7 linked regions of the Callithrix jacchus genome follow. The protein of the gene in region 3 purifies or fractionates together with the protein of the main gene of each other region. This does not show direct contact. Links are inferred from orthologs where the notes say so. Each region holds a gene or a part of one and is shown on either strand. Other genes may lie near its edges.

Region 1 (4,130 bases), on a different chromosome or scaffold from region 3:
ACAGATAATTTTTTTTTTTTTGAAAAATCAATTGTAGTTTAACTACCCATTGGATGTTGGATACTATCTCTAAGTGGCTAACTTAAATTTGAATACGTTAATTGGCAGGAAGCTTATTACATTTCATCTTTGGACATATCACTTAGAAAGTTTATCTATCTGAGTAAACTCTGTCTCTTTCAAGGTTCAAGTTTTTTCCTCCATAAGAGAAAAAATAAAATCTACTTTTCTATTCCAGATGAAAGCCATTCAAATATTTATAAAATATCTGTTTCCTAAAACTTTTAAGTCAGTAAAATGCATTCAATGGAGTTTAAGACGAAGCTTATCTTTCACTGCATCTCACAGTAGCATATAGTAGGCTCCAATCTACACATCTAGATTTAAATCATACAGTACACATGAATGTACAATGACATCTACGAAGCACCTACAAGCATAAGAATAATTACTGAGTCTCTCAAATTAGATCATAAGCAAAGTATAGAAACTATGCCATGCTTGTTTTTTTGTTTTTTTTTTTAAAAAAAAGCATACTTCTCTTCCCTAACAACATGGTATAATGCTATGTAGTTCAGTTTAAAAAATGTTTACTGACCGCCTGCTGTATGTCAGGTACTATGGTAGGAATAAAATATGAATTCATGCTCCTTACAACAAAGGAGCTTAAGTGAGATGTATAAAGAATAAGCAACCAAGTGTTTACTGGGCATCTTCAACACTAACTGGCATTATGTTTGGTGGGAGAGCTAAGAATTAATGAACATCTTCAAAAGAGATCTTGGTAAGGGAGGGGGTACCTTACTCCTACTCAAATAAAAGGACCTGAGCAGCCCCATCCTCCTCCTTTCTATTCATATCTTTACAAAGCCATGGCAAAATCAACAACAAACGTGATAAACATGAAAGGAAAACAAGCTTACTTTTCTTCAAAAACAAGCACACATGGCCAGGCACAGTGGTTCATGCCTGTAACCCCAGCACTTTGGAAGGCCAACGTAGATGGATTGCTTGAGCACAGGAGTTTCAAACCAGCCTGGGCAACACAGTGAAACCTCATCTCTACCAAAAACCAAAAAACCACATACACAAAAATTAACAGGGCATGGTGGTGTACACCTGTAGTCCCAGCTACTCAGGAGGCAGAGATGAGAGGATGGCTTGAGCCCAGGAGGCAGAGGTTGCAGTGAGCTGAGATCGTGCCACTGTACCTCAGCCTGGTCGACAGAGCCAGGCCCTATCTCAAAAAACAAAACAAAAACAAGCACACAATGAACAATCTCAAGATTTCAATTCAGTTCATTTCGAATTTATTCAAAGTTTCTTACTGCAGAGTGAGACTGGTGAGCTTTCAGGACTGGTTCGGCATCCACAGCTTTTTTAGCAACCATTAACTGTAACATCTGTTTCCGGTACTTGCTCATGATGAGTTCCAAAGCATCCTGGTGTTCCTCCAAGGAAACCCAGAGCTCTATCAAAAATAAAATAACTTGGCAGTGATGTCTGAGAGAGCGCTCCCATATCCAAAGTCTTAACAGTTGGAATTTTGTAACACTATAGAGATAATATGAATCCAAAGCTGTAAATCAGGGTTTAAGTCCACAAAACTGAACAGTTAAAGTCTATGTGAAAGATAACTTTCTAGGCAGAGAAGCAGAAACAACAAAGGATATGTCATCAGAAGACACGGGTTTGAGTTCAGTTCTGTAACTTGCTTCGTTAATACTTGTAAGTAAATCATTTAGCGTCTCTGAGTGTATTTCTTAACTGCATTGTAATAAATAGCTAAAAATGAAGATAGGAGAATACAGTAGAATGATACCTGTGAAACCCCGCTGGTAAACAACTAGTAATACTACAATTATTAATAATATACTAATCAAGCCGAAGAATATATACCCTTAAAATAACATTCTGCTGCTTCCCTTGCATGAACAAGAACATAAACAAAACCTTAAACCTTACCTTTAGTGTTTATTTTCATTAATACTTATTAAACATTAAAGTTTGCAAGAATTCAACTCTACTTAGCAGCTCTTTGGTAAGCTGCTACAAAATCAGTCAGATGATCTTGAAAAGGGTAATCTAAAAACCTTTGCTGTTACCGGGCCAGCACAGGAAGACTCGCCTACTAAAAGTACTGACCTGGAAATATATGTACATTTTTGTGAACGGTTAGGGCAATTCTGCAATACCTTTCAAACTATTACCAGATATGAAAAGGCCCGACTAACCTCTGTTTTCCTGCTGCAAGTCTCTAATCTGTGTGTTCTCTTGGGACAGCAGAATGTGAGGTTTGTATTTGGACATGTCCTTCATATCGGATGCATCCTCTTGATACTGGACAAACAGAGACAGACTAAGTAGAGAACAGCGGCAGATGCAACTGAAGAGGCAGAAATCAGCGCTCCGGGGCAGGTTTCTCAGCCCCGACCCAGGAAAAATGTCTCACCGCCGCCCTCTGAGACGCGGAATCAATTCCAGGCCGAGTTCCCACTTTACCTCGCTCTCCACCCTTCAGTGCCCAGAATCCGAGAGCACTGGACTCCTACCCTCTGCCTGACCTGATCCGGAAGCGCCGTCCCCGCCTCCCGCATAGAGGCTACCCGCCGGTGCAACGCCGCCGACTGATCCACCAGTGACTCAGCGGCCGCATCGTGCTCCCGCAGCCTCTCCAGCAGCGTCTTGGCATCTGTCAGGATCTTCTCGATGGTGCAGCTCATAGCAGCGGCACGACCCCACTGGACCTGCCGGGCTCAGCTACGCGACTTGCTGAGATCTGGGAGTCTGTCTCAGCATTACAAGCGTCACTTCCGGGCACGTTTAAAAGGTGTCTTGCGCCTGCGCAATAGCAGTCCCGTTTGCGGGTTTACCCGCTGGAACCTGTGGCTTCTTTGCAGTCCTGCCCAGCGCGGAGCCCCAGACCTGCCCTTGCCACGCCCTTGGTTTCCAATTCCCACAGCCTGCTGGTCAGGCCATGATTAACTGGGCAGTAGGAAGTTCTCCTTTCCCTACTGGTTTTCATCGATGTGGGTTGTTACTCATAGTTTTTATTTTCATTTAATTTTTAATTTAAAATTTTTGTTTTTTGAGACGGAATTTTGCTGTTGTTGCCCAGGCTGGAGTGCAGTGGCGTGATCTCGGCTCACTGAAACCCTTGCTTCCCGGGTTCAAGCGATCCCCCTGCATTAGCCTCCCAAGAACCTGGGACTACAGGCATGTGCCATCACATGCGGCTAATTTTTGTTATTTTTAGTAGAGACAGGGTTTCACCATGTTGGCCAGGCTGGTATGGAACTCCTGGCCTCAAGTGATCTGTCTGCCTCGGCCTCCGAAAGTGCTGGGAATATAGGCGTGAATCACCGCACCTGACCTATTTTCATTTAATTTTTTAAAAATCGTGGTAAAATACACATAAAATTTAATATCTCAGCCTTTTTTTTTTTTGAGATGGAGTTTCACTCTTGTTACCCAGGCTGGAGTGCAATGGCGCGATCTCGGCTCACCGCAACCTCCGCCTCCTGGGTTCAGGCAATTCTCCTGCCTCGGCCTCCTGAGTAGCTGGGATTACAGGCACGCGCCACCATGCCCAGCTAATTTTTTGTATTTTTAGTAGAGATGGGGTTTCACCATGTTGACCAGGATGGTCTCGATCTCTTGACGTCGTGATCCACCCGCCTCGGCCTCCCAAAGTGCTGGGATTACAGGTGTGAGCCACCGCGCCCGGCTATCTGAGCCATTTTTAAGCATACAGTTCAGTAGTATTAATAGCAGTACATTCACACTGTTATACAGCCACCATCAGCATCCATCTCTAGAACTCTTTCATCTTGCAAAACTGAAGTTCTGCATTATTAAACAGTAGCTCCTCATTCTTTCTTCTCCCCATCCCCTGGCAGCCACCATGCTACTTTCCTGAATACCTGACATGAGTGAAATCATACAGCATTTGTATTTATGTAACTGCCTTATTTCACTTAGCATTATGTCCACAAGTTTTATCCATATAGTAGCACATATTATATTTTCCTTCCTTTTTAAGGCTGAATAATACTCCATTGTATTGTATATTCTGCATTTTGTTTATCCATTCATCCAGTGGGTTGCTTCCATCTTTTGCTATTGTAAAT
Region 2 (4,242 bases), on a different chromosome or scaffold from region 3:
AGATAGAAAAATATAGATCTCTCCATATATACACATTCATACTTATCTATTAATCAATCTACCTCAGGAGTTCCATGGAAAAGTCAGAGCTAGAGATCGAAATTGCGAGAATCGTATTACATACCCAGTACTGAAAGCCCTGAAGCATACATCCTACTTTGTCCAACTGTTGAATTCCTGGTCATCTTTTAAAACCCAGTTCAAACATCATCTCCCAAGAGGTCTTTCCTGATCACCCTGAGTTAATCCCTTTCTCCCCTTTATTATGTGGGTATTTTGTAGATACTTCTATCTTTCCATATAAGACTGCACAGTAATTATTTGCTGGCACATAAAAGCAGGGACCTCATTCCATTTACTTTGGTGGTAATTTTTATTTATTTATTTTTTTTGAGATGGAGTTTCACTCTTGTTACCCAGGCTAGAGTGCAATGGCGCGATCTCGGCTCACCGCAACCTCCGCCTCCTGGGTTCAGGCAATTCTCCTGCCTCAGCCTCCTGAGTAGCCGGGATTACAGGCACACGCCACCATGCCCAGCTAATTTTTTGTATTTTTAGTAGAGACGGAGTTTCACCATGTTGACCAGGATGGTCTCGATTTCTTGATCTCGTGACCCACCCGCCTCGGCCTCCCAAAGTGCTGGGATTACAGGCTTGAGCCACCACACCCAGCCTGGTGGTCACGTTTTTTTTTAAGAGATAGGGGTCTCACTACGTTGCCCAGGCTGGATTCAAACTCCTGGGCTCAAGTGATCCTCCCATCTCAGCCTCCTGAGTAGCTGGTACTATACAGGCTTGTACCACAAGCCCACTCACATTAACACTGCAAATTAACGATGTGTCTGATAAAGCAGACTCTCAATAAATGTCAATTAAATTGAACTAAATTCATCAAACTCACAAAGTCAGAAGCAAAAGTTATACTGAGAAAGACAAAATGCCACTAGATGAGAATTAAGACTTTCAACCTGGGGGGAGGGGAACCATAAAAACAATCAAATCCTTTTTCTCCCTACATCTAAACTAATACGTATACAGACACAGAAGGACAAAGTTATCTTATTCATAGAAAAAAAAAAAAAGAATGGGTTGAGTCCAAAATGCTTACATTATTTATTCTCTCAGTGACTAACATTATGATAATCTGCCCATAAAAGATCTGTATAAAAAATGCTGCAGTATGCCTGTCACGAAACAATGTATCATTTATACTGCAAAAGTTCTGGAAGGAGGGTAAGCAGCAGTATACTCACCAGCAGACAGTGGGCAAAGTCAGGACCTCCCACTAGGCCGGTGAAATTTCCCAGCTGCTCAGCAAGAGCTAATAGTACCTCATCTTCATCATAAATTGTATCTGGAAGTGACAACAACAGGGACTCATCAACACAGCTCTCCCACAGCAGCCGTACACTGACGCAAAACTAGGACCAGATTCACTATGCAACCAGTAAGGTGGCCCAGTCAAAATCCTAACAGCATTTTCTTCCTTCTCCTCAATCAACTCTCTTCCTAGATCTGTTTTGCACAACAAATTGGAAATTCATATTCTCATAGCAATTACTTTCCCAATAGCTAAATGGTTATTGTTTGAATATATCTAGCCACAAGTAACAATATACTCTGTTCTGTTTCTTTTGCACATAAACCACCCGGCTCATTTTAATGTGGGTAACAAACTAAAAAAGTCAGTGTTGAAAGCTACTGGAAAATGGAATGTCCCTGCCTTTCTTTAAACAAAGGTTCACATACCTGTAAGGAATGGCAGCAATTCACTTCGTGTCCTTTCTACTCCAAGTGCTAGGGCAATTGTTGATAACTTCTTAATACTGTTGAGTCGGAGCTTCAGAAAAGGAGAAAGAAAATCAATGTAAAGAAACGGTTAAATTTAGATCAAAAGACAAAAGGTGCTAACAGGTGAAACAATGACACGGGTAAGAATGAGGATAACTAACATTTCATTTACATTTCACTGTTAAGGGACTTCCAAGAGGAATGTAACTCGGTCTCACTAGCCAGCGGAAGATTTCCTAGGAGAAACACTCAGAAGGCCCCGGAAGAGAAATGAATGAAAGATAATACAACACCCAGGAAGTAAGATAATTTTTAAAAGAGGGCACTTTGGCAGTGGTGAAGCAGGTGAAACGGTCGAATACAACGCCTGTCGTTTCAAAGAAAAGTTCCCGTAAAGCTGATACGACACGTCCAGGTTGATCGGCAATCCCACCTCCTCTTTCTACCCAACAAGCCGAGCCAGTTCTAGGCCGAGACGAAGGGATTCCGGGACACTTCAAAGGGCTTCTGCGCATCCTGCGCCCTCAGTCGCTCCAGCCCGGTCTCGGCCCCGCACCGCGCTCCTCCAGCTGCCTCACAGCCCGAAGCGGGGCGGCCCAGGCGGGAAGCGGGTTCCCGGACAACCGCCCTGGAAAGGCCAGGCTCCGGGCGGACGCCTCAGGGGGTCCGAAGCAGGGGTACTGGAGCGGTCACCGGGAGAGTCGGGGCGTGCCACCACGTCCCCTCGCGGATCTTTCCTCGCCTGCCCTTCCAAGTTTCTGCTGAGTCCGGTTCAATCAGTCCCCCGGCCATAGCCACCGCGGCACAGGCCTTCCCCCTTCTCTACCACGCGACCGACCGGGCCCACCTCGGCTCCCCGGGCTCAGTCCAGTACCTGCACGTCTTCATTGCGGAGCTCGTCGATTAAAACCGCGACAGGGTATAGCGAATCGTCTCCACCTCCGCCGGCTGCTCCCGGGCAGGTCCCGGGCCCCGCTGCGCCCGCCATGTTCTTTCTCCTCCTACTGCTGGTCACCGCCTCCCGCCCCGCGCCCAGGCCCCGCCCCGCGCCCAGCCCCCGCCCCGCTCCCAGGCCCCGCCCCGCGCCCTGGCAGGAGGGACTAAAGCTGCCACGCGAGTTGAGCCGAGGTTGAGGAGCTGAGTTTCTGTCCCGATGATTAAGGCTCCCTTCCGACCCCCAATGCAGGAGTTGTAGGTCTGAACTCAAGAAGATGGGTGGACTGAGAAAGCGAATGGAACCCCTGCGTCCTTTCCCTAGCCGAAAGAAACAGGGACAGTGATTCATCCGGCTCGTCTGAAGGGGCCAGGGACCTACCTGGGTGATCCGCGCTGTGCCCTCTTAAGACTCAGGCGGACCAAAGAGAGTGCCCGAGGCCAGGAGGAAGAAGGCTTTAGCACCTCCCCTGACTGCATCCTGGCACTGAGCCACAGGATCTCCAGCCCTAATTACTCAGCTCAGCCTCAAGCTTCCACAGAACCCCTCCACCTCTTCCCTCGGCCTGTTCTCCAGAATGGTATCTGGCTCCTGCTCCATAAGACAAATAACGCGGGCGGTGAGAGAAAATGAACAGTGCTGTCCAAACTCCCCAGTCAATATTTTTTCCACGCAAGCTGTTAAAAACATGCTGCTCTCTTGTTTTTGTGTTTCTTTTCAGTTTGGTACTGGAATGGTGCCTTCTGTTGTATTTTCTTCCTCCCATTTTTCAGCTCTTTAGCATGCTAGAAGTACAACAATGAAGCAAAACTAGGACAAGCTTTAATCCTTCCAAACTGGGTGGGGTGGCTACTTTGCTTGAATAAGAAAACCCAGACTGGCCTCCCTAAACCCCCAAGAGTCCTCAGAGGCAGCAAGGGGAAGAAGTGGAGATCTGGGAGCTCCTTCTTACAAAACTGAATGGCAAGTTTTCACCTACCCGTGTCAGGGCAGCACAGAATAACTAGAATGTCCTTTTTGTTTGTTTTAGACTGGAATTTAAGCAGCTTGGAGTGATAACTACATATGGTGATCGCAAGTTCTGAAATGGTAATTCTATGTGCCTGATTAATAAAATTAAAACTATTAATGCAGTGTGTAGGAGGCAAACTTTTTTAAAACATGGGGCTCTGAGGCTGAGGCGAGTGGATCACTTGAGGCCAGGAGTTCAAGACCAGCCTGGCCAACTTGGTGAAACCCCCATCTATACTAAAAAAACAAAAATTGGCTGGGCTGGTGATGGCCGCCTGTAGTCCCAGCTACTCAGGAGGCTAACATGAGTGAGAACTGCTTGAGCCGGGGAGGCAGAGGTTGCAGTGAGCCAAGATCGTGCCACTGTACTCCAGTCTCGGCAGCAGAATGAGACCTGGTCTCAAAAATAAATAAGTAAGTAAGTAAATAAATAAATAAATAAATAAATGGGGTTCTTGGAAGTAAGCACAACAGATAAAGCCTTTGGTAGTAATGAAAGTTTGGGA
Region 3 (4,038 bases):
GCTTCAGAGCAGGAGAGCACAGTAGACCCCTAAGCCAGAGCCAGGGCTCATCAGCCCAAGCAGAAACTGTGTGATAGGAACCCTCTTGGCTGTGATCCTGGTCCTGCAAAGACATCCCAGGGGGGAATGGGACCCTGCCACGGAGGCTGAGAACCCTCTTCTGGATATAACAGCTGTGGTCTGGATGACTCAGGCCACTCAGCTGACTCTGACGGTGGACACCTGTTCTTCACATCAGCCCTGCGCTGCCAGGTGTGCGGCCTCCACTTGCCCGTGTGTCTGCTGTTAGTGTTGCCCCACAAACAAGAGGAGTGGCCCAGCACACGCACCAGAGACATCCCCAGATGCCACCTGAGAGGCAGTAGCCGAGCGACCATACAGTGCTCTGGCACCCCACAGCCATTCGGGCCCTCCAGGGCCAGGCAGGAACTGGCTAGGCAGAGGCAAGAAGCCTAAGGCAGAAGCACAGGCTGCAGGGGGAATGTACCTCACTCTCCCATGAAGGGGCTGCCCCACAGGGCTCAGGACACCATGGCAACCATCTCAGGAGAAAACCACAGCCCCTCAGGTTTCCTGCCACTATCTGAAGTCAAGTCTCTCATTCCAGCCTAGGACAGAGGGACCCCTAAAAGGACAAAAGGTGTTTCCTACCTCTAGAGTCCCTTCTCCAGTGTGCCTGCACTCCCTCCCCTGGGTCTGATCACACCAACGACCAACAGGGTACCTCAGAGCTCCAATTTCTCATCCCAGGACCCAGGGGAGCCATTTCCGCAGTTCTTAAACCGGTGGCTGGGCATGGTGGCTCACGCCTGTAATCCCAGCACTTTGGGAGGCCAAGGTGAGAACACTTGAGGTGAGGAGTTCGAGACAAGCCTGATCAACACGGTGAAACTCCGTCTCTACTAAAAATACAAAATTAGCTGGGTGTGGTGGCACATGCCTGTAATCCCACCTACTCAGGAGGCTGAGGCAGGAGAATGGCTTGAATGTGGGAGGCAGAGGTTGCAGTGAGCCAAGATTGAACCACTGCACTCCAGCCTGGGCAACAAGAGTGAAACCCTGTCTCAAAAAAAAAAATTTTTTTTAATTAAAAAAAATTAACTGGTGGCAGATTTTTCTCCCAGCCCCTTAGTCATGTAAGTTACCAGATACAGCATGTCAAAAGCAAACCAAAAATCTGTTAGCGTAATTCGGCATCAGTCAGCATGCCCCAGTCCCCATCTGTGACCACAGCAGGTCCGGGATGCCTGGCCCAACAGCTGCACATGGTGTTCCGGGTCTCTAGGCTGGCCTGGTTTCCTCCAGAGCAGCTCTGGCTCCAGTTCCTGCCCCTGTGCGGACAGACTCGCTTCCTGTTCCACAGCACGCCCAGCTCGCAAGGATTCACACAGGAGGGGGCAAGGAGGGCCACACTTTTTAGCGGCGATTTCAACACCTTCAACAGAGCCAAGGCTTCAAGGGGAGCAAAACCAAACAGCTAAGATGTAAAAGTGGAAAGGGGTACAGGTGCAAGTCCCCAGGCCCCAGGCTGGCTGTCCCCACCCTCCTTTCCTGGCACACACTGCCAGGGCTCGCTGTGGTGGGTCCCTCTGAGGCCACCCGTTAAAACTCAAGGCCAGACGCTTCAAAGTGGCTCCATGGTGGGAATGACCAGAATCCAAAGAAGGAAGAGACGAGTCTCATCTTTGGGGAGCCGCCCGGAGCGGGTACGAAACGGTTCTGCACAGAGCAGCCTTCTCACCCTCCCCTGGGCAAAGCACACACGTGTCCTCCGCTTCCCGGCACGCAGCCCGCACCGGCCCACTCAGACCCGCTTCGCCACATTCCCTGCCCCTCGGCGCCCGTCAGGGTCTCCCCTCCGCTCCTGCCCAGCCCAACGCTGACCCTCCACTGCCTTCGGATGCTGCCGTGAGGTTCCCGCCCACGCTGGGGGCAGCGCCCTGTCCCCGAGCGGACGTCTCTCCACGCACCTCCACCACCCTCGCACAGGCGGAGCCACCGGGATCCCAGCCAGAGGCCTGCGAGCTTCCGCCACGCGAAACGCCACAGGCGCACGGCAGGACCCCGCCCCGCGCCCACCTCGGGACCGCTCTGCTGGGCGCACGACGCGCGCTCCTTTCCCCACCCCACGGCCCGCCCCAGCGTGGCGCACCCCCCGACCCCCCGGGAGACCCTGGCGCCCCTCGGTGAGACACGGCGAGCCTTCCCGACCTGCGCCCTCCTCACCTGGTTGGCAAATCCCCGGAGATGAGCCATGGCCGCGCCGCCCCAGACGCTCCGCCGGCAGCCCCAGGAGGCGTCGGGATCCCGCCAGGAGGCGCGGAGCCGTCTCCTTCGCCCCTGCCGCGTCAGTCCACTGCGAGGGACAGCAGGAGCGCTCGGTGCCCGTTTCAGTCATCTGAGAACGAGCTCCGGGGCGGCGGGCTGCAGAGGGGGGCCCCGGGAGACCCCCAGGCCGCCGCCCCGCCACGCCCGGGCCTAAGGCCCAGGCGCCCCGGGGCTCGCCGCCCCTCCCATCCCCGCCCCCACGTCCTCCGAGGCTGCTTCCTCCCGTTGCCCCCGCCCCGGTGTCCCCCCGCCACCGAGCCCCGCCCCGGTCCCCTCCCTCCGCCCCCTCCCCACTCGCCGCAGGCTCCCAGCCCGGCAGCGAGCCCACCTCCGAGGGGCTCCATCCCGGACTCCCCCGGCCCGCTCTGCAGTGCCCGCGAAGGCTCCCACCCGCAGCCTCCGTTCGCCCGCGGACGCCGGGCCTCCCAGCCCGCGAAGCAACGGTGGTGGCGGCGGCGACCGGAGAAAGCTCAGAGGAGGCGACGACGAGGGCGGTGCTTAGCGTTGAGGCCCGCGCACGGCTCTCTGGGACTTGGAGTCCTACCGCCCACTCCAGCCCCGGAAGCCTGCTGGCACTGGACTACAAGTCCCGGCAGGCCGCGCGGTGGGGCGGGGATCGCATGCGCGCAGCGAGGCTCTCTGGGAGCCCGAGTCCAGCTCCCGAAAGGCTCGGACTGCATCTCCCGGCTGGCTGCGCGGCGGGTCGGACGGGCCACGTGGTCGTTGTCGCGTCGCGCCCTACCTGCCTCGCCCTCGCGGGCCTCCCGCGTTTGCGAGCGCCGGTTGGGCGTCGTCTCCGACGTGACGGCGGCCGGGCGGCTTCTCCGTTGGGCTCTGCCGTGCGCAGCCCTGGTCCGAGCCCGCCAGCTGAGGCCTGGCGCCCTCCCCGCCTAGCCCTGAGGATTCACCGCAGCCGCCCAGGCTCTCAGCTTTGTCCTCGTGGGCAGAGATGCCCCAGCGCTGGCCACACCGCGAAGCACCTGTTTGCACTGAGACCCCGCCTAGGATCCCGCGCACAAGCCAGGGCGCACCAGGCCTTGGAGAAGCTACTGGCACAGCCCATCCTTGGGGCGAGTTGCTTCGCTTCTCCTGCCTCAGTTTCCTTACCTGCAAAGGGGTGATCATAGGACATCCTTGGTCACCCCGTTGTGACCTCTCCACCTGGGCTAGAGCGCCGGACGCGCCCAGGACAGTGACTGCTGCTAGAAACCATCATGGCACTGGGGTCACCTCCCCAAGGTCAGGGAGGGACTTGCAGAGCCCAAAGCTACCTGGTGCGTCCCCCTTCCCCGTGGGCCGCCAGTTCATAGTGCTCCACCCCTGCCCCGAGTGCATTCCCCTAGCGCACCGCAGGGGTCCCCACCTGTCCAGTGAGGAAGATTTGTCTCTCCTCCACTCTGTGTCCATGATGGCTCCGCACAGGTGACTATCCCGGCCTCCCCCACCCTTCCTTCCTCAAGAAGGTTCTGGCGTTTCTCTGCTCCCCGGTGAATGTTTTCTCATTGTGCATTGCCGAGTCCTTTAAGAAGCTAAGCTTCTTCCAGGTGAGGTGCCACGCGTCAGTAATCCCAGCACTTTGGGAGGCTGAGGCTGGTGAATCACTTGAGGTCAGGAGTTTGGGACCAGCCTGCCCAACAGGTGAAACCACGTCTCTACTCAAAATACAAATTTTAGCCAGGTGTGGTGGCGTGCTTCTGTAATCCCAGCTAC
Region 4 (3,500 bases), about 11 Mb from region 3:
ATACCTGCTTACAAAATGGCTGATCATACAAGTCATCTCTGCTGATCTTTAGTAGGCAGGAAGGACAAGGGTGAGATAGTTTGGTACAACAAGTTGAGCAGGTTTTGATGGAGGCTTGTCAACCTTGTCTAAATGATAAAACCATAAACCAATAAGTCCAAGGCAAACAGTTATGCTGTATAACCTGTGAGCATGAGAGTGAACAGCACATTAACATGTAAAATGCCAGTAAAAAAAATCCTATCGCCTCCAAATGTAGACTTCAAATGCATGCTAATATTAGCAGCATAGCCCCCCAAATAAGTATCTAGCACAGAAGTACTTACAGATTAAGAAGATAATCACATAATATGGAAGCAGTCTAAATCAATCAACGAAAGTACAAAAATCTTAAAATGCTGTTCACAGGGCTCCCTGAAGGAACAGCTGTTTCCAGGTCTGGCAGGACTCGTACAAAACGAGCAAGATGGTTATCCTATGCCAGAAAGCAAGGAAGCCATCACAAACTGATGGGGTCTTGCCAAAGCATCACAGAAGCCAACTTCAAGGAGCTCCCAATAGCCAAAGATGAGGTAATCTGGATACAAGAAAGTAATGACTGGAAGGGATTGAGACATATCAAATATATTAAAAAAAAAAAAAACAAACTTGAGTTTAAGGCTGGGCGTGGTGGCTGACACCTGAGGTTGGGAGTTCAAGACCAGCCTGAGCAACATGGTGAAACCTCGTCTTTAAAAAAAAAAAAACAAAAAACCTTGAGTTTATAATGACCCTTAAAACAACTCAATGCTTATCTAAGGAAGTGGCCATGTCGCCAACTGATTATACTAAAAAATGAGATAATATTTTGAGATAACTAAGTCATCAAAAAAAGGAAGGGTTCTTCTTTATATAAACAATTATATGAAGAAGAAATAACACAATTGGGAAACGGCCATTCTGAATCTAGGCAATGATTGATTCTCAATGGAAACTAAAACCACTAGTGAAAGGGCAGATGACAGACTGACAATATCTACATCCACTGGTCAATCGAACATCACCAGAAATGGGATAACCAGTGTCACCTGATATGAAGCACACAGCACCATCCATGAACTTCCCCCCCACCAAAGTGAATCTGAATCTAATAAAAAAGCCAGATCTACTATCCACCACTTAAATCGATAGCGGATAGTGGAACATGTTCAAGAAACAACAGAAATGCAAGTCTAAAACAGAAAATGTATGATTTTTCTACAAAACAAGCAATCCAGGCTTCAACAAAGAAATGGCATAATATTAACTATTATAGATGAAAAGAGAGCTCAGAGTTCTATTAACCAAATTCAGTTTGTGGACCTTGCTTGGAACCTTTTTTTTTTTGAGACCAAGTCTTGCTCTGTCACCTAGGCTGGACTGCAATGGCGCAATCTTGGCTCACTGCAACTCTGCCTTGTGGGTTCAAGTGATTCCTGTGCCTCAGCCTCTCAAATAGCTGGAATAACAAGTGTGCGCCGCCACGCCCAGCTAATTTTTGTATTTTTAGTAGAGACAGCATTTCACCATGTTGCCCAGGCTGGTCTCAAACTCCTGGGCTCAAGTTATCCACCTGCCTTGGCCTCCCAAATGCTGGGATTACAGGTGTGAGCCACCACGCTCAGTCTGGAACTAATATTAAATAAACTAACTGTGAAATGCTCTTTTTGTGAAAATTGAGGAAATCTGAAAATTGGGCAATAGACATCAGGTTTGCAAATGGTATCGTTAACTGTGTTATACTGTGTTTTGTACTGTGTACTAGGGACATACTGAGGTGATCATGTGTCAGAGGAAAAAGGAGGCAAGGAACAAGAACGACAGAACATTCGTAACTGTTGAAGTGGGTTGAGGGTAGGAACTGGTATGTCACATTATTCCCTCTAGTTGTATGTACATTTTTCACAACAAAGGTGGTGGGTGGGGCTTCTGGTTGATTGACCAGTTGCATGCTCCACCCTACTTCCTAGCTGGAAGTGTCTGCCCTGGAGAGCGTAGGTGAGAGCTCCAAACTGTAAATTGTATCTCAAAAGTCTTTCTTTACATGCCATTTAACAACACTCATATGCCTCTGATTACTCTCAGGTGAAAATGTCGGCAGCTAACTAAAATACTGATTTGAATAATCACTGGTTTCTATGGAAAAGGAAATATGGGCTTTAAAAATACATGAAGGCACCTGAAAGCTGCTCTAAGAACACTAAAGGTTCACACTACCCACTACATGTTTACTCATACAACTCTGAATTGATACAACAAAAGTTAGATGCCAAAAGTTCTGTAGCCCAACATCTGAAGAAGTAACACAGATGGTTAGAAAGAGAAAGAGGGAAGCAGAATGCTGGCGTGCAACACAGGCACTGACTCATGCTTTGTCTAAACAAGTTTGAACTTGGGGGAAGTGTTAAACCGCAGAGATGTGAATCAGACTGAGGCAAGCTATAAAGCGAGGAGGAGGACAGCAAGCTGATTCATGCCAGTGGTCATGTCAGGAACATGCCTGCCCACCATCTTAATAGAACAGGCCCCACCAATGCTGGGACAAACAGATGCACACCATACTCGGGCTGGCACACGACTCTGGTGGGAAAGAACAAGAGGTTACCTTGCCAGTCAAGAAGGCTCAGGGATGAGGGAGAAGGGCATTTGTTTCTATGGTTCAGTCTTTAGGCTTTTCTGTTTTTCTCTGCTTTTAAATTGACAAGACCACCCAAACATTAATGCCTGCTTAGACCAGTAGTAATTCCAGGAAGATGCATTGTGAATTGCCAAATTATATGGATTAGTAAGAGGACACACAGAGGTAAAAATCAAAGGGCACTACTAATTCATAAACATGTACTTTGCTGACTCAACAAAGTAAAGCTATAGAGAAATCATGCTTCACTTAAGAGGCAGCTTTTACTGCCTTATGGTGTGCATATTATGTCCAAAGGAGAGGTCTTTCAATATAGAACTTAACTGATACTGCAATGAATTCCTACTTTTTAAAGTCCTAGAGAACAGAAGTAAGACCACAGAGGATTATTTTTTTCCCTTCAGGCATGCTGGATTTGTGAATTTAAAAGCTTAGAAATCACCTAATTCTAAGCTCCCATCTATAGGGTATTTTCAAATTCAATTTAGCTCACATATTGAATTTCAACAAGGAAAATGTGTTCAAAATCTGCGGAAAAATTATCTGACTCAATTACAGAGAAAATGCTTCCCACATTCAGCATCCTGCTTTTTTCTCAAGGCAACCTTTCCTTTATGTTCAACTAAGAATACAAATTTTATTACATTGTACATACCCTTTCAATAACATGAACAAAATATTCTGTTGGGTGCAGATGTATTCAACAGTAGGAGTTCTTGTACCAATTTGTCTTCTGAGAATATTGTTGAAAATTTGAGCCACGTCTTTTTTGCCCTATTAGGAATACAATCATTAACAAATTTTCCTGACTAAACATCAAAATGCCCATTCACCCTCCCAAATG
Region 5 (3,500 bases), on a different chromosome or scaffold from region 3:
GCTCTGCCACCCAGGCTGGAGTGCAGTGGTGCGATCTTGGCTCACGGCAGCCTCGGGGGGGTTCAAGAGATTCTGGTGCCTCTCCCTGTGGAGCAGCTGGGACTATAGGTATGCACCACCAGGACCAGTTACTTTTCACTGTGTTGGCCAGGCTGGTCTTGAACTCTTGGCCTCAAGTGATCCATGACGCCCAGCCTGTAAAATAATTACCTGGAAGCCATTTCTAATTTTCTTTCTGTGCATGTGTACATTGTGTATGAAAATGTAAACTCCGGGCCGGGCACGGTGGCTCGCGCCTATAATCCCAGCCCTTTGGGAGGCTGAGGCGGGTGGATCACCTGAAGTCAGGTGTTCAAGACCAGCCTGGCCAAAATGGCGAAACCGTGTGTCTACTAAAAGTACAAAACTTAGCCGGGTGTGGTGGCAGGCGCTTGTAGTTCTAGCTACCAGGAAGCTGAGGCAAAAGAATTGTTTGAACCCAGGAGATGGAGGTGAGCTGAGATTGTGCCACTGCACTCTAGTCTGGGCAACAAGAGTGAGACTCCATCTCAAAAAAGAAAAGAAAAAAACAAAAAAAGGAAACTGTAAACTCCGCTTCTGGGCCCAGTTCGTTTCCTTCTTTATTCTAGTCCCTCTGGCATTTCCCTTTGCTGGACAATGAAACTGCCGAGGATGCTTTTCCCCTAAAAAAATCTGGGAAGACTCAACAGCTTCTACTGGCAAACACAGGAGATCACAAAAAGAAGTATCTCTGTGCCCCACAGACACCGGCAAACCATGTCCCAGGCCTGGCCTGTGCTTCCCCCTCACCTGCTGCCTGGGTCCCCTCTGGAAGGCCCTCGGCTTCCCTGGCGCCAGGTACCAACTGCACTAAGTCGATGACATCTTCAGGCTCGGAGGGACTGGAGGTGCTCTCTTCCAGAGACGGGGAGCAGACGCAGCATGCTCCCCCATCACACAGCACTGGCTCCTCAAAGTCCTCGTCCAGGGAGTCGATCGTCTCCTCAAAAAACAGAAGGACATCCTTTTCCTCATGGGTGAGGTACTTCAGGCTCTCATCATCCTAGAGAACAGGTTTGGGGATTGGGAATGGAAGAAAACAAACAGCAGTTTCATTAAAGTGACAAAAGCCCAGGCAAACTCAGGATCAGTCCATAGCCCTGGGCAGAACTCACTGTCCTGAGTGCCCTGCCATGCTGCCTGTGTGTGCCTCCCCATCACCCTCAGAAAGGCAGAGCCAAGCAGAGCCTCAAAGCTTTGTAACAAGCCCTCACCTTGGGGTTCCTAGCAAGTCAATGACAAAAAGGGCCTGTTGGGGAATGCACTGGCAAGCTGCTGTCAGCCTACTGCTATCTGGCACACTTGTTTTTCCATAATCACAGGAAACCTCTGCTTAAAGACAGTGGATTGAACTCACATTTATCTCTTCTCTCTCCAGAAACCTTACTAAAACAAGGGATTTTTTTTTTTTTTTTTTTTTTTTTTTTGAGGCAGCATCTGACTCCGTTGCCCAGGCCGGAGTGGAGTGGCGTGATCTTGGCTCACTGCAACCTCCACCTCCCAGGTTCAAGGCATTCTGCTTCCTCAGCCCTCCCGAGTGGCTGGGATTATAGGCATGCACCACCATGTCCAATTAAAACAATTAATTTTTTGTATTTCTAGTAGAGATGGGGTTTCACTATGTTGGCCAGGCTGGTCTCGAACTCTTGACCGCAGGTGATCCACCTGCTTTTGCCTCCCAAAGTGCTGGGATTACAGGTGTGAGCGATCATGCCTGGCAAAATAAATGGATTTTTTAAAGGCACAAATCACAACGATAAAATAGCAGGACGAGTGATGACAGAACAAAAGCAGGGCAGCAGGACAGATGGAGACAGAGTGAGAAGGCCCAGGAAAGCCAGAGACCCACCTGCTGCGTCCTGCAGAACCTCCCAGAAGCTCAGGCCCTGGAGGTGCTGAGCGGCTCTGGAAGTGTGGGCAAGGTGAAGAGAGCCCAACTGTTTGAAAGTCTCTTTCAGAAGCAATAAGCTCATCCTGGCACAAAACTAGCCACTTACTCTCAAAGGTGACAGAGGAACCCTGAAGAGGGGCCACAGAGCAAAGCTGACGGTGGAGTGCTATGTTAACAAGGTAGGCTACCAGTGTAGATGAGGACGTGTTAACAGTGTGGCCGTCAGTGCAGCCAAGTGGCCACCCTCCAGACAGAAGACTGTACGTGTCATCTCCGGGGAACTGAAGGATCCAAAGGCCAAGAAAACTGATCCCAAGGGTCCCCCAGCAAGATTAGTCACAGGGAAAGATGACGGTCAATGAGTCCCAGCGTAGACCTGTGCAGCAGTTTCTTACTGTCCGACTCTGGAGTAGGTGCAGATAGCTAACAACCACGGAGCGGCTGAGGAAAACAGTTATGTGAAAGAGCTATCAAAACAAAGGACAAAAATGCAACTTACAGGAAATGAACTATTGAAAACTTCAAAAAGGTGCATCATCAGTTGTCAGGTAAGAGATTCTGAATCTATAAACAGCATGTTGTTTTCTTTACAAGATAAAAGACTATTAGAAACAAAAAAAAATTAACAGCAGAAAAAAGTGAAAAAATAAAAGCTTAAAAGATAAAGTTGTGAAATCAGAAAACTATGAAAAAAAAAGGGCAAGAAAGTTGGAGGATAGATCTGGGAGGGCCACTTTGTGAATAATGGGAGTTCCAGAAAGAGAAATCAGAGATAATGAGAGGAAGAAATTATCAAAATAAAGTAATTCATGGGAATGCCTCTGAAGAGGAGCACGTTTCCAAATTGAAAGGAGTCATGAATGTACAACCTAATGAAGAAAAAGCAAACAGACCCATGCCACGGTATGCATTGTTGTGAAATTTCAGAATACTGAGAGCCAAGAAAAGACCCTGAAAGCTTCCCAGACTTCCCAGAGTGAAAAAGCAGGTCACATACAAAAGACCAGAAATCAGAGGTGAGGCAGGTAGATGACTCAAGCCCAGGAGTTCAAGACCAGGCTGGCCAACACGGTGAAACCCTGTCTCTACTAAAAATACAAAAATTAGCTGGGCATGGTGGCATGCACCTCTAATCCCAGCTACTCAGGAGGCTGAGGCAGGAGAATCACCTGAACTTGGGAGGTGGAGGTTGCAGTGAGCAGAGATTGCACCACTGCACTCCAGCCTGGGTGACAGAGTGAGATTCTGTCTCAAAAAAAGAAAAAGGATCAGAAATCAGACTTTGACAACTGCCTGTGGTTATGTAAGAGAGCATCCTTGTTTTTAAAATGTACTTCAGTATTGAGGGGAGTATTATATAGCAACTACATTCAAATGGTTCAGAAAAAATAAAGCATGCATGTGTGTGTAGATATATATAGAGAGAAAGAGAGCGTGCTAAAATGTGGAAAAAATTTTAAAATTAAAGGGTATGTGGGAGTTCTCCAACTTCATTAAGTTTGAAATAACTTCCAAACAATTTAAACAAACAAAAGTCCAGGGATCAGAA
Region 6 (4,047 bases), on a different chromosome or scaffold from region 3:
CTGAGCAACACTAACCTTATACTGTCATTTGGGCAAGAGGACAAGTTTTATATCCATTTTACCAATGAGGAAATAGATGCATGGATTCCAAATCTAAAAAGCCAAATGATAGCACCACAAAGCAAGAAAAGAGCCAAACTAGTCCCAAAAATAGAACTTCTGATCCCCAGTCCGGTGTTTTATTCTTGAGCCAAGTTGAATTCCCAGGGTCCTGTTTGCTTTTTACCTATATAGAAACCACCTCAAACTCATTAGGTGGGGGGAAAAAAAGCAAATTCCCTCATCCTACCCCACAAACGGAACATGAAAGATATTATGAAAAGTTTTTTGGGTCAGCAATAGAAAAGAAATAAGAATGCATATGAAATTTTAAAGAATAAAAAAAAGTCAAATGTTTTCCAGACATAAAAGCCTAGCAAACCATTTTAATTAGGTGTCACAGTTAATTATAAGATCAATGAATGTTTACGGATGGGCTTTTTAAAAATCGTAATTAACATCCGATTTATGAAAAACTCTTCTCCAGACTGCATAATGAAATACAAAATGAACTACATTTAAAATCTGTTTTGTTAACTATAAAAACCTACCTATTCAGGGAAAGGAATTATAAACAGCAGATAGCTTAAAGCATAATTTTATTAGCAATTCAGAAAAACAATGACAAGAGTTTCTAAGAATTTGCATGTTCATTTCCTGTATGTGAAACCACACAAAAGTTTGAATATTTTATAATATGCATTTACTTTATCACCTTTTTTGAAGACCATTGTGCTTCCCCTCTTTTTTGGCCAGGAAGTAGAGTAGGAGGAAGACTGTTTTCCAAACTCTCTAACAAGTTTCAAATTTTATAAACAAACTTCAGTAAAAAAGGAATATTCTACACTTTTCAACCTGTTTTTATAGTGCCTATCTTAACTAGCCATAATACACTTACTTACATTATTTTCTATAGGTAGTTTCAAATTACAAGTGAATTTTTTTTAACCAAGTTTAAAAAAATTTTTTTTCTTTTCTGTGTTAGTCATATTCTCGCCCACTTTACCACCCAAAGACTTTCGCAGTCAGACTTCTGGCAGAAGGTTTAGAACATTCTGCTGCTGATAAAAGAGAAACCACCGCCCACCCAAGACAGCAATTGCCAGCTGTTTTTTGGTTAAGAAAAATTTAAGGAAATTCAAGTCAAAATTTTTAAGCCAACCACAGAAAATAAATGGGAATATGTATGAAATATAAGAAAACTTTTAAAGAATAAAAAAAATTTCGAATGTTTTCCAGATAATAAAAGCCTAGCAATCATTTAAATTAGGCATTACATTAATTATAAGATCAATGAATGTTTACAGATTGGAAACCCTTCTGTTTCCCTTAACTGCAAGTAAACTACACCTACCACTACAGGAATACAAAGAAATATTCTGACTACTGATATACCCTAGATGTGTCTTTAAATGTCAAGAATCTAGTTTAAATTTTTTTCATGTTCAAGTTATTCGTCTCTGATATTAAGTAGTACATAATATGAACTGACCCATATGAAAATAAAAAAATTTAAAATATAGTTATGGTTTTCATAGAAACATAATCATAAGAAAGAAACGATGCATACAAATTACATATAAAAATAAGCACTGATACAGGCATATCATTGTATCTGAAAGCAAAGAATATTTTCACTGTCCTTGAAAACAGTGCAATGAATACATGTTTGGAACTGTATTCAATTAATTTTTAAAGTTGGAAGAAAGACTTTGGAAGTAATGGCGCTGGAGGATTTTTTTTTTTTAAATACACGTTCCCTTAGAATTGTGGCTGAATTTAAGTTTCATATTCAAACAATTATGACAATTCAGGAAGGAACTAACCTAATCTAAACCAGTTATTTCTAACCTACAGACTAATGAGTCAGTGGAAGAGTTGCCTGAATGCACATACTCCAAGCACTGTCTGTAGTCTAAAACATTTCTGCTCCATTTTTCTAACATAAACAGATATTATAAAAATAAAATACAAAGTCATTTAAAAGCATAGTAGTTTTCTGTCATATATAATTTCAATCAACAATTACTAAAAGTACAATTGCGTAAGTGTAGGATTTCTTAAATTCAAAACAGATCAGGGGCCTTTAAGCTAATGCACAAAGTTCCTTCTGGCTCCAAAATTCTTTGATATTAAAAGATGAAGAACTCTTAACGGTGAATTCTTTAGCACTATTCCATTTCTATAAGCATACATAGGTACATATAAATAATGCTTACTACGAGCCAAGCATTGGACTCTTCGTCAGAGATGAATAAGACATGATTCCAGACCCAGGTTCAAATTGGCAGGAGAGACAGATACATAAACAAATAATACAACCTAATAAATACTGCAGAAGAAATGTTTCAAACGCGTTGGGAACACAGCGGTATCCATTCACCTGCGGGAGTCTGAGAAGAAAAAATTTATGATTTGGGTTTTGATAGGTGGTAAAACAGAGGAACAGTAAGCGTTCTAGACAGATGGTACCGCACGTACAGAAGTACAGAGTTGTCAAAGTGCATGGCATGTTTGAGGAAACAGCCAGTATAATCTGCTATGGTCAGATATTAAAGCAAGACTAAAAGGTAAAATGGATTGGGACAGACTGTAAAAGATCCTGAATGATGATGTACTTAACAATTAGGATTTGATTCTGTCAGCAATATGGTTACTAAAAAGTTTAAGGAAAGAACAGAGATAAATATGTATTTTAGAATAACTCTATGGAAGGATTATAGTAGGGAAACCAGTGTAGTAGGGCAAGGGGCAACTAGAGTATTTCTGGCGAAAGAAAAAATAATACAGTGCAGTGAGTGGAAATGAAGAACCAAGAATAATTCCTGGTTTTCTAGTTCGGATAACAGGACAGATAAGGAACCATTATCAGGGATGGGATACAGAAGGACGACAGGAAGAGAACCAGAACAGAGTAATGCTCCTTGGAGAGCAGTTTCAAGAAACAAGTTATCTTCATTAAACGCTGCTAACAGGTGACTGAAAGGGTCCCCCGTCCGGTGGTGAGCTCGCAGGTGGGTAAGGCAGGAAGAAAGCAGATACGGAAGATGTGTCCACAGGGTTAGGGCCAAGGCTTTTCATTAAACTTTCTGAACCGCAGCTCCATTAAGAGGAGCTCGGAGCCGGGGGACACGGAGAAAAAGTCCGGCTCCCAGGAGTTGGGAGCCCGCGGCTGGAAGCGGCCGGGAGCTGGCGCCGGTGGTTCTAGAGGCGCAGGGCACCGGCCTCAATGAAGGACGCCCGCGACTCGCCCACCACCGCTCCTGTCCCTGGATTTAGTCTACTTACTCTCCTTTTAGTCCCTCGCAGGCGTCAGCTGTGGCGATCCAACTCAATGCCTCAACCAACCCGGACGTATGCACCCAAGGGAAGAAACTCCTCGCCCCTAATCCGCCTCCTCAGCGAGCAGACGCAGAACCGGACCGAGGTGGCAGGGGGGTGGCCGAGAGGCCAGCGGTATTCAGCCCCATCACCGACTGGGGAGACACCTCCGCCGACCGCCTCCGACCGTCGCTCCCGGAGGACTCCAGCCTCGCGAGATTTCCTTCCTCGCGTTACGGTGAGGCAGAGCCGACCTCTAGCCGCTTTGCGCGAGCATGCGGGGCGGGGCCCTTTTATGTCCCTCCCTGTCCTCCCCTCTCAGGTTTTCACTCGGCCTCTCGCAAAGTCTCGCGATTTTTTCCAGGGGAAAGCGGCCTGGGTGGAGAGACCGAGAAGGGGAGACCGAGTGGGTGGGCCCTACGTTTAGGGTGCCGTGTCTGGTTTAGCCAGTACTGTGGTTGGTACTTCGCTGTTTGGGAGGCTTTCAGGTCGCCCAGATCCTTCTTCCCAATGGGTGACTGGGAAAATTAGCGGGTAGAAAATCTCGAGGGGTGGAGGCGTGTTTTTTTCTCCTTGGCCCCGCCCTCTTCCTGTTCGGCGACTGAGGCGCCTGGCCCTCCGAGGGGGAAGGGAGGCTTGGTGGGGTGGTGGGGGTGTCCATCGGAGAGCGCTGTGCGCACGCGCGAG
Region 7 (4,296 bases), on a different chromosome or scaffold from region 3:
CCTTCTGGCTCTAATGTTTGCTTTACAATCATCCACGCCCATTCTCAGTCCACCCTGTGAGAGCCAACGTGAAGTGAGCAGAATATGGCATAAGTTTGGAGTCACACATCCTTACTGGAAGTTCTTTACCATTTACTAGCTTTTATTTGATTTCTCTGAATCTCTGTCTTCTCGTCCGTAAGTTGGACACAATGATATCTATCCTACACTGTAGGATAGATTTCTCACACAGTACTCAAGATGACATAAAATACCATTAAATGAAAGTACATGGCACAATGATAACATTAATAGTTGTTTACTTCATTCAGACTCAATCACAGACTGATTACATCCCTCGGTCAGACTGTAAACTGCATGAGGCAGGCTGCATCTGCCTTGAGGACTGTCTGACTAGGCAAGTACTAGGTCCCTAATGCTGTCTTGCAAACTGTAATTGCTAAGCTTAGGGATAATGTATTAATTATTAATTAATAATTATTTAGGCATTATATTTGTCTCATACGTATATTTAAAATAATGTGGTTATTGTAAATGTAACCAGTTGAATCAATCTGTGAGCTGACAGCCATTCAATGGAAACGGAATTAAAAAACTTTGACCTCAGGTAGGGATACAGCTAGTTAAACATCCACTCCTCTCTCTGAGTTATTTGGTCCTGCCTAGGACTTGCTGCCTCTAAGATCTGCATTCCTGTGTTCACAAGGCAGACATTCCTTGCATCCTCTGTACTCTCCACTCTCTCAGCTTCACTGCAAACCATTCCCCACAATATAATGAGGCCAAGGACAGAAAAAAGTCGCCTCAGTTGGCAAGCATAGAGAGAGAAAACCTGCCACACAAATTTGCAATTATTCGACTTCCGCCTGGAAAAAAGGTCGGCTGGGTTTACGTCCCCCAAAATTAGTATCCTCTTCTGTACAAAATGTGGTTGAGAGAAGGGTCATCTCCAGGTATTTCATCTTTGCACCCTTGCTTCCAGCACCACGCCCACAGAAAAAAGAAAAAAAAAAAGGGTGGCGGGAGCAGCGAAGCCAGGTTTTCAACAACTAATTCATTCTAATGCAGATACAAAAGCCCACTTCATTTATTAACATTCTGGATAAAACCCCAATCGCTCAGGCTTACCAGAGCCCTCCATTCCTAAACTCCCCATACAATCAGGGAAAAGCATGAAGCACTAGCCACGGTCCTGCCCAGAAACCACGCAGAAGGTGGAAAGTTGCAGACCCCGGGCCGGGAGAGGCGCGGACTAGAGCTCACCCTGAACCCCGGGACCCAGGAGGACACTTCCTCCCGGAAGTGACGCGAGCTCAATCCCAGCCTGGCTCTTCCCAAACAAAAGGGATCTTGGGGCCCCGGGAGGAGCTTGAATGACATTGGAGAAGCCCCGCCTCCAGTCGGCGCGGATTGGGGCCGGGGCTGGAGAAGCAAGGAGACGATTGGCGATGGTGAATGCCAATGTCCCCGCCGGGCGGCTGAGGGGGCGGAGCCTCAGCCGCTGTGGATGGGGAGTGGAGGCGGCGGAGAGTGGTTCCCGGAGCGTCGCGGAAAGGTAGGAGCCAGTAGCCCTGGGGCTTGGTGATGGCTGGGAGGCCGGGTTCTAGAGAGCAAAGCAAGGGTAGGGGCACCGATAGCCTCTCGCCGCCGTCCCAACGGCTGCCGGGCCCATCCCCTGAGGGGGCGGGGCCGTCTCCTCCACCTCCCGGTATTCCCCGAGGAGGCGGCTGGCTCCTCATCCTTCGAGGGTCCTCACAGCTACTTTTTGTTCCTTGTCGATTCCCAGCTCCTCAGAAGGGGGTTCCCTCTGACACCCCTCATTCAAAGGCTCCTCCCACCCCGCACCTCAGCCTTGGCGGAGAGGACTCACAGCTACCGATTCTCTAGGCTGCCGCCCCCAACCCCATTTTGTACCCCCGGAAGGCCATGCATTCCTCCCTACACCTGTCCCAGCTCGCCAGGCTGGAACTGGAGCTGCTTTCCTCCGTAAGATATAATTCGTGTTTTCCAAAAAGGAGGGATGGGGCGAAGCAAAAATCAAAGACGCGACCTAGACAGCCAGCTTTACCGAGGAAGCGGCTTCCCCGACTTGTTCTTCCCATCCCCCATTCTCTGATACTCAGCCTTCCTCCCGCCGCCCCCGGCATCTCTGGCCTTCTGTGAGGAGTCAGGGGCTCTCCTGCTTCGGGACTTCTTTAGACTCTAAAAGAGGAAGAAATAGGACCTCCTCTCCTTTACCCTTTGTACCTTCCGTCTACTTTCTGTTCCTTCTGGGATAGTCCAGCCTCGGAGGGTTTCTTAGATTTGAATTGCGTTTCATTTTTCCTTTTCCACCCCTATTTCTCCCCTGAGAACTTGGTGAAAAGCCATCTTACATTTCACAGTGAGGTGGGTGTGTTGAATATCTGCAGAGTTGGCTTTGTGTGGGCAGGAATGCAGTGTATGTGGCTTGACAGTCAATGAATAACACGGTGTTTTCAAATGAAACAGTATACAAAAGTAAATAAATAGCAGTCGATTAGGAATGAGTATATCCCAGTCTAGGGTGGGCTGGTCCATTGCTCAGGGAGACTGCAGTTAACCTTGAAGGTATACTGCAGGTTGAAACAAAAGGCAGGAAGTATTTGAAGCAAATTCAGGTGCAGTTATCTAGGTTTATGATTAATCTAGTCCTGCGGCCGGTGCTTCCTCTCTAACCCCTTTTTTAGAGTGTCCTTCTCCCCCTGCCCCCGGGAAACACATATATATTTTGATTGGCTTTACAATCACCTACCAAAATTGAGAGGATGAAAAGAACAATTTATAAATCTCAGAGATAAGAGTAAATAAAGGCAAGATAGAAATTCTAGCTATTCACGTTTACCAAAAAGTGTCTCTCTAGTGTGTTTCTAAAGGTTTTGTCAAGTTGGCCTTCATTTCAGCAGGTGCAAGGTGTTGATTTGGATCTCATGTTAATGTCATTGACTCTCCAGTAATCATCCATCGCTGGCACTTTTATATATTAAAGTTTGCCATATTTTTAGCGTAGTTTCTTTTGCTTTCAACCTCAAGTCCACCTCCCCACTGTCAGCTATAGCGAAAGCTGATAGCAATAGAATGCAAGGAGTTGGAATGACTGTTGTCTTTTACCTGCTTGATTAAACTTCCCGAAGGTAATTGTTTTTGAATAGTTAGGTTTCAAGGTTTCAGAGCCACTGGGTACTCACAGATCTTTTCAGCAATTATTTCCAAATCTCCAATAAGAAAGTACAAAGAAGAGGAGGGGGAGGTGGGGAGGGATAGCCTGGGGAGAAATGCCAAATGTGGGTGAAGGGGAGAAGGAAAGAAAAGCACACGGCCATGTGTGTTCCTACGCAACTGTCTTGCATGCTCTGCTCATGTACCCCAAAACCTAAAATCCAATAAAAAATTTAAAAAAAAGAAAGTACAAAGAAGAAACTGGAGGTTTCTGTAGCAAAGACAATGTGTGCTGCAATAGAAGGCTAAGACATTGGCCCCCAGCAACTACAGCAGAAAAAACTAAAAGCATAACAAAATCCCAAAAAGATAAGTCGTATTACGTCAGCAGAGAACAGAAAATAAACTAAGGTAAGAGTCTAAGGAAACAAAAGTTGTGGCGATTGCCGGGTTTTAATAGAGAGGAAAAGCAAACAATGTTCTTTTATTATTTAGCACAGTAAGCAAGATCTGTTTGTTATACTTTTGGGTCTTGAAAATCTTTCTTTTAACCTTTTCAGCATCTGTTTGGTCATGCTAGATGAAGACAAGAATAGTATGCGAGGATATAGGTCTGTTCTCTCTCCTCAAATTATACATTCTTTGAAGGCAGATAGTGGTATTTTTTTTTGTTCATCTTTGTATCTTTCACAGTTCCTAGAATGGCTTAATGAGTGTTTAATTTAGTTTGAAGCTGTCACCTTAAGATAGACTGACAGGTAATACACCGATAAGATGTGACACAGCTTGTTAGTATAAACAGCCTACTTGTTGTCTTAACTTGATTTTTCCCATCTACAGTCTTATGAAATTGCAATGTCTTAAGTGACTAAAATATTGAATTTTCTATAAAGAAATATCTGTGAGGCAGAATGTGGTGGCTTATTCTTACAATCCTAGCTGTTTGGGAGGCTGAGGCAGGAGAATCACTTGAGCCCATGAGGTGGAGGTTGCAGTGAGCCGAGATTGTCCTATTGCACTCCAGCCGGGGCGACAAGAGAGAAACTTCATCTCAAAAAATTAACAAAATTAAAATTTCTGAGATTTGCTGCTAATGACTAAAATTAAATCTTCGAAACT

What was found.
Region 1: the proteins of STK25 (region 3) and SIKE1 purify together in Homo sapiens (affinity purification with mass spectrometry; 4 studies listed by BioGRID and IntAct, with this or other methods). This does not show direct contact. The link is inferred for Callithrix jacchus from reciprocal best matches to the Homo sapiens genes STK25 and SIKE1.
Region 2: the proteins of STK25 (region 3) and PPP2R1B purify together in Homo sapiens (affinity purification with mass spectrometry; 3 studies listed by BioGRID and IntAct, with this or other methods). This does not show direct contact. The link is inferred for Callithrix jacchus from reciprocal best matches to the Homo sapiens genes STK25 and PPP2R1B.
Region 4: the proteins of STK25 (region 3) and CAB39 purify together in Homo sapiens (co-immunoprecipitation; 3 studies listed by BioGRID and IntAct, counting the BioPlex papers as one, with this or other methods). This does not show direct contact. The link is inferred for Callithrix jacchus from reciprocal best matches to the Homo sapiens genes STK25 and CAB39.
Region 5: the proteins of STK25 (region 3) and PROSER2 purify together in Homo sapiens (affinity purification with mass spectrometry; 3 studies listed by BioGRID and IntAct, counting the BioPlex papers as one, with this or other methods). This does not show direct contact. The link is inferred for Callithrix jacchus from reciprocal best matches to the Homo sapiens genes STK25 and PROSER2.
Region 6: the proteins of STK25 (region 3) and FGFR1OP2 purify together in Homo sapiens (affinity purification with mass spectrometry; 5 studies listed by BioGRID and IntAct, with this or other methods). This does not show direct contact. The link is inferred for Callithrix jacchus from reciprocal best matches to the Homo sapiens genes STK25 and FGFR1OP2.
Region 7: the proteins of STK25 (region 3) and CTTNBP2NL purify together in Homo sapiens (affinity purification with mass spectrometry; 6 studies listed by BioGRID and IntAct, counting the BioPlex papers as one, with this or other methods). This does not show direct contact. The link is inferred for Callithrix jacchus from reciprocal best matches to the Homo sapiens genes STK25 and CTTNBP2NL.

The regions. Positions count from the first base shown.
Region 1 is NC_133508.1:152,760,526-152,764,655, forward strand, and holds the start of SIKE1 (suppressor of IKBKE 1), read right to left. Parts: upstream 2,801-4,130; 5' UTR 2,724-2,800; coding exon 2,553-2,723; intron 2,341-2,552; coding exon 2,235-2,340; intron 1,472-2,234; coding exon 1,329-1,471; intron 1-1,328.
Region 2 is NC_133511.1:11,467,480-11,471,721, forward strand, and holds the start of PPP2R1B (serine/threonine-protein phosphatase 2A 65 kDa regulatory subunit A beta isoform), read right to left. Parts: upstream 2,801-4,242; 5' UTR 2,780-2,800; coding exon 2,666-2,779; intron 1,841-2,665; coding exon 1,750-1,840; intron 1,355-1,749; coding exon 1,254-1,354; intron 1-1,253. UniProt on the Homo sapiens protein: The PR65 subunit of protein phosphatase 2A serves as a scaffolding molecule to coordinate the assembly of the catalytic subunit and a variable regulatory B subunit.
Region 3 is NC_133507.1:162,786,950-162,790,987, forward strand, and holds the start of STK25 (serine/threonine-protein kinase 25), read right to left. Parts: upstream 2,801-4,038; 5' UTR 2,719-2,800; exon of another isoform or gene 2,657-2,718; intron 2,357-2,656; 5' UTR 2,257-2,356; coding exon 2,227-2,256; intron 2,154-2,226; exon of another isoform or gene 1,885-2,153; intron 1-1,884. UniProt on the Homo sapiens protein: Oxidant stress-activated serine/threonine kinase that may play a role in the response to environmental stress.
Region 4 is NC_133507.1:152,263,591-152,267,090, reverse strand, and holds part of CAB39 (calcium-binding protein 39), read right to left. Parts: intron 3,431-3,500; coding exon 3,312-3,430; intron 1-3,311. UniProt on the Homo sapiens protein: Component of a complex that binds and activates STK11/LKB1. In the complex, required to stabilize the interaction between CAB39/MO25 (CAB39/MO25alpha or CAB39L/MO25beta) and STK11/LKB1.
Region 5 is NC_133508.1:2,290,009-2,293,508, forward strand, and holds part of PROSER2 (proline and serine-rich protein 2), read right to left. Parts: intron 1,064-3,500; coding exon 811-1,063; intron 1-810.
Region 6 is NC_133510.1:44,307,404-44,311,450, forward strand, and holds the start of FGFR1OP2 (FGFR1 oncogene partner 2), read right to left. Parts: upstream 2,801-4,047; 5' UTR 2,552-2,800; coding exon 2,362-2,551; intron 1-2,361. UniProt on the Homo sapiens protein: May be involved in wound healing pathway.
Region 7 is NC_133508.1:150,364,140-150,368,435, forward strand, and holds the start of CTTNBP2NL (CTTNBP2 N-terminal-like protein), read left to right. Parts: upstream 1-1,496; 5' UTR 1,497-1,555; intron 1,556-4,296. UniProt on the Homo sapiens protein: Regulates lamellipodial actin dynamics in a CTTN-dependent manner. Associates with core striatin-interacting phosphatase and kinase (STRIPAK) complex to form CTTNBP2NL-STRIPAK complexes.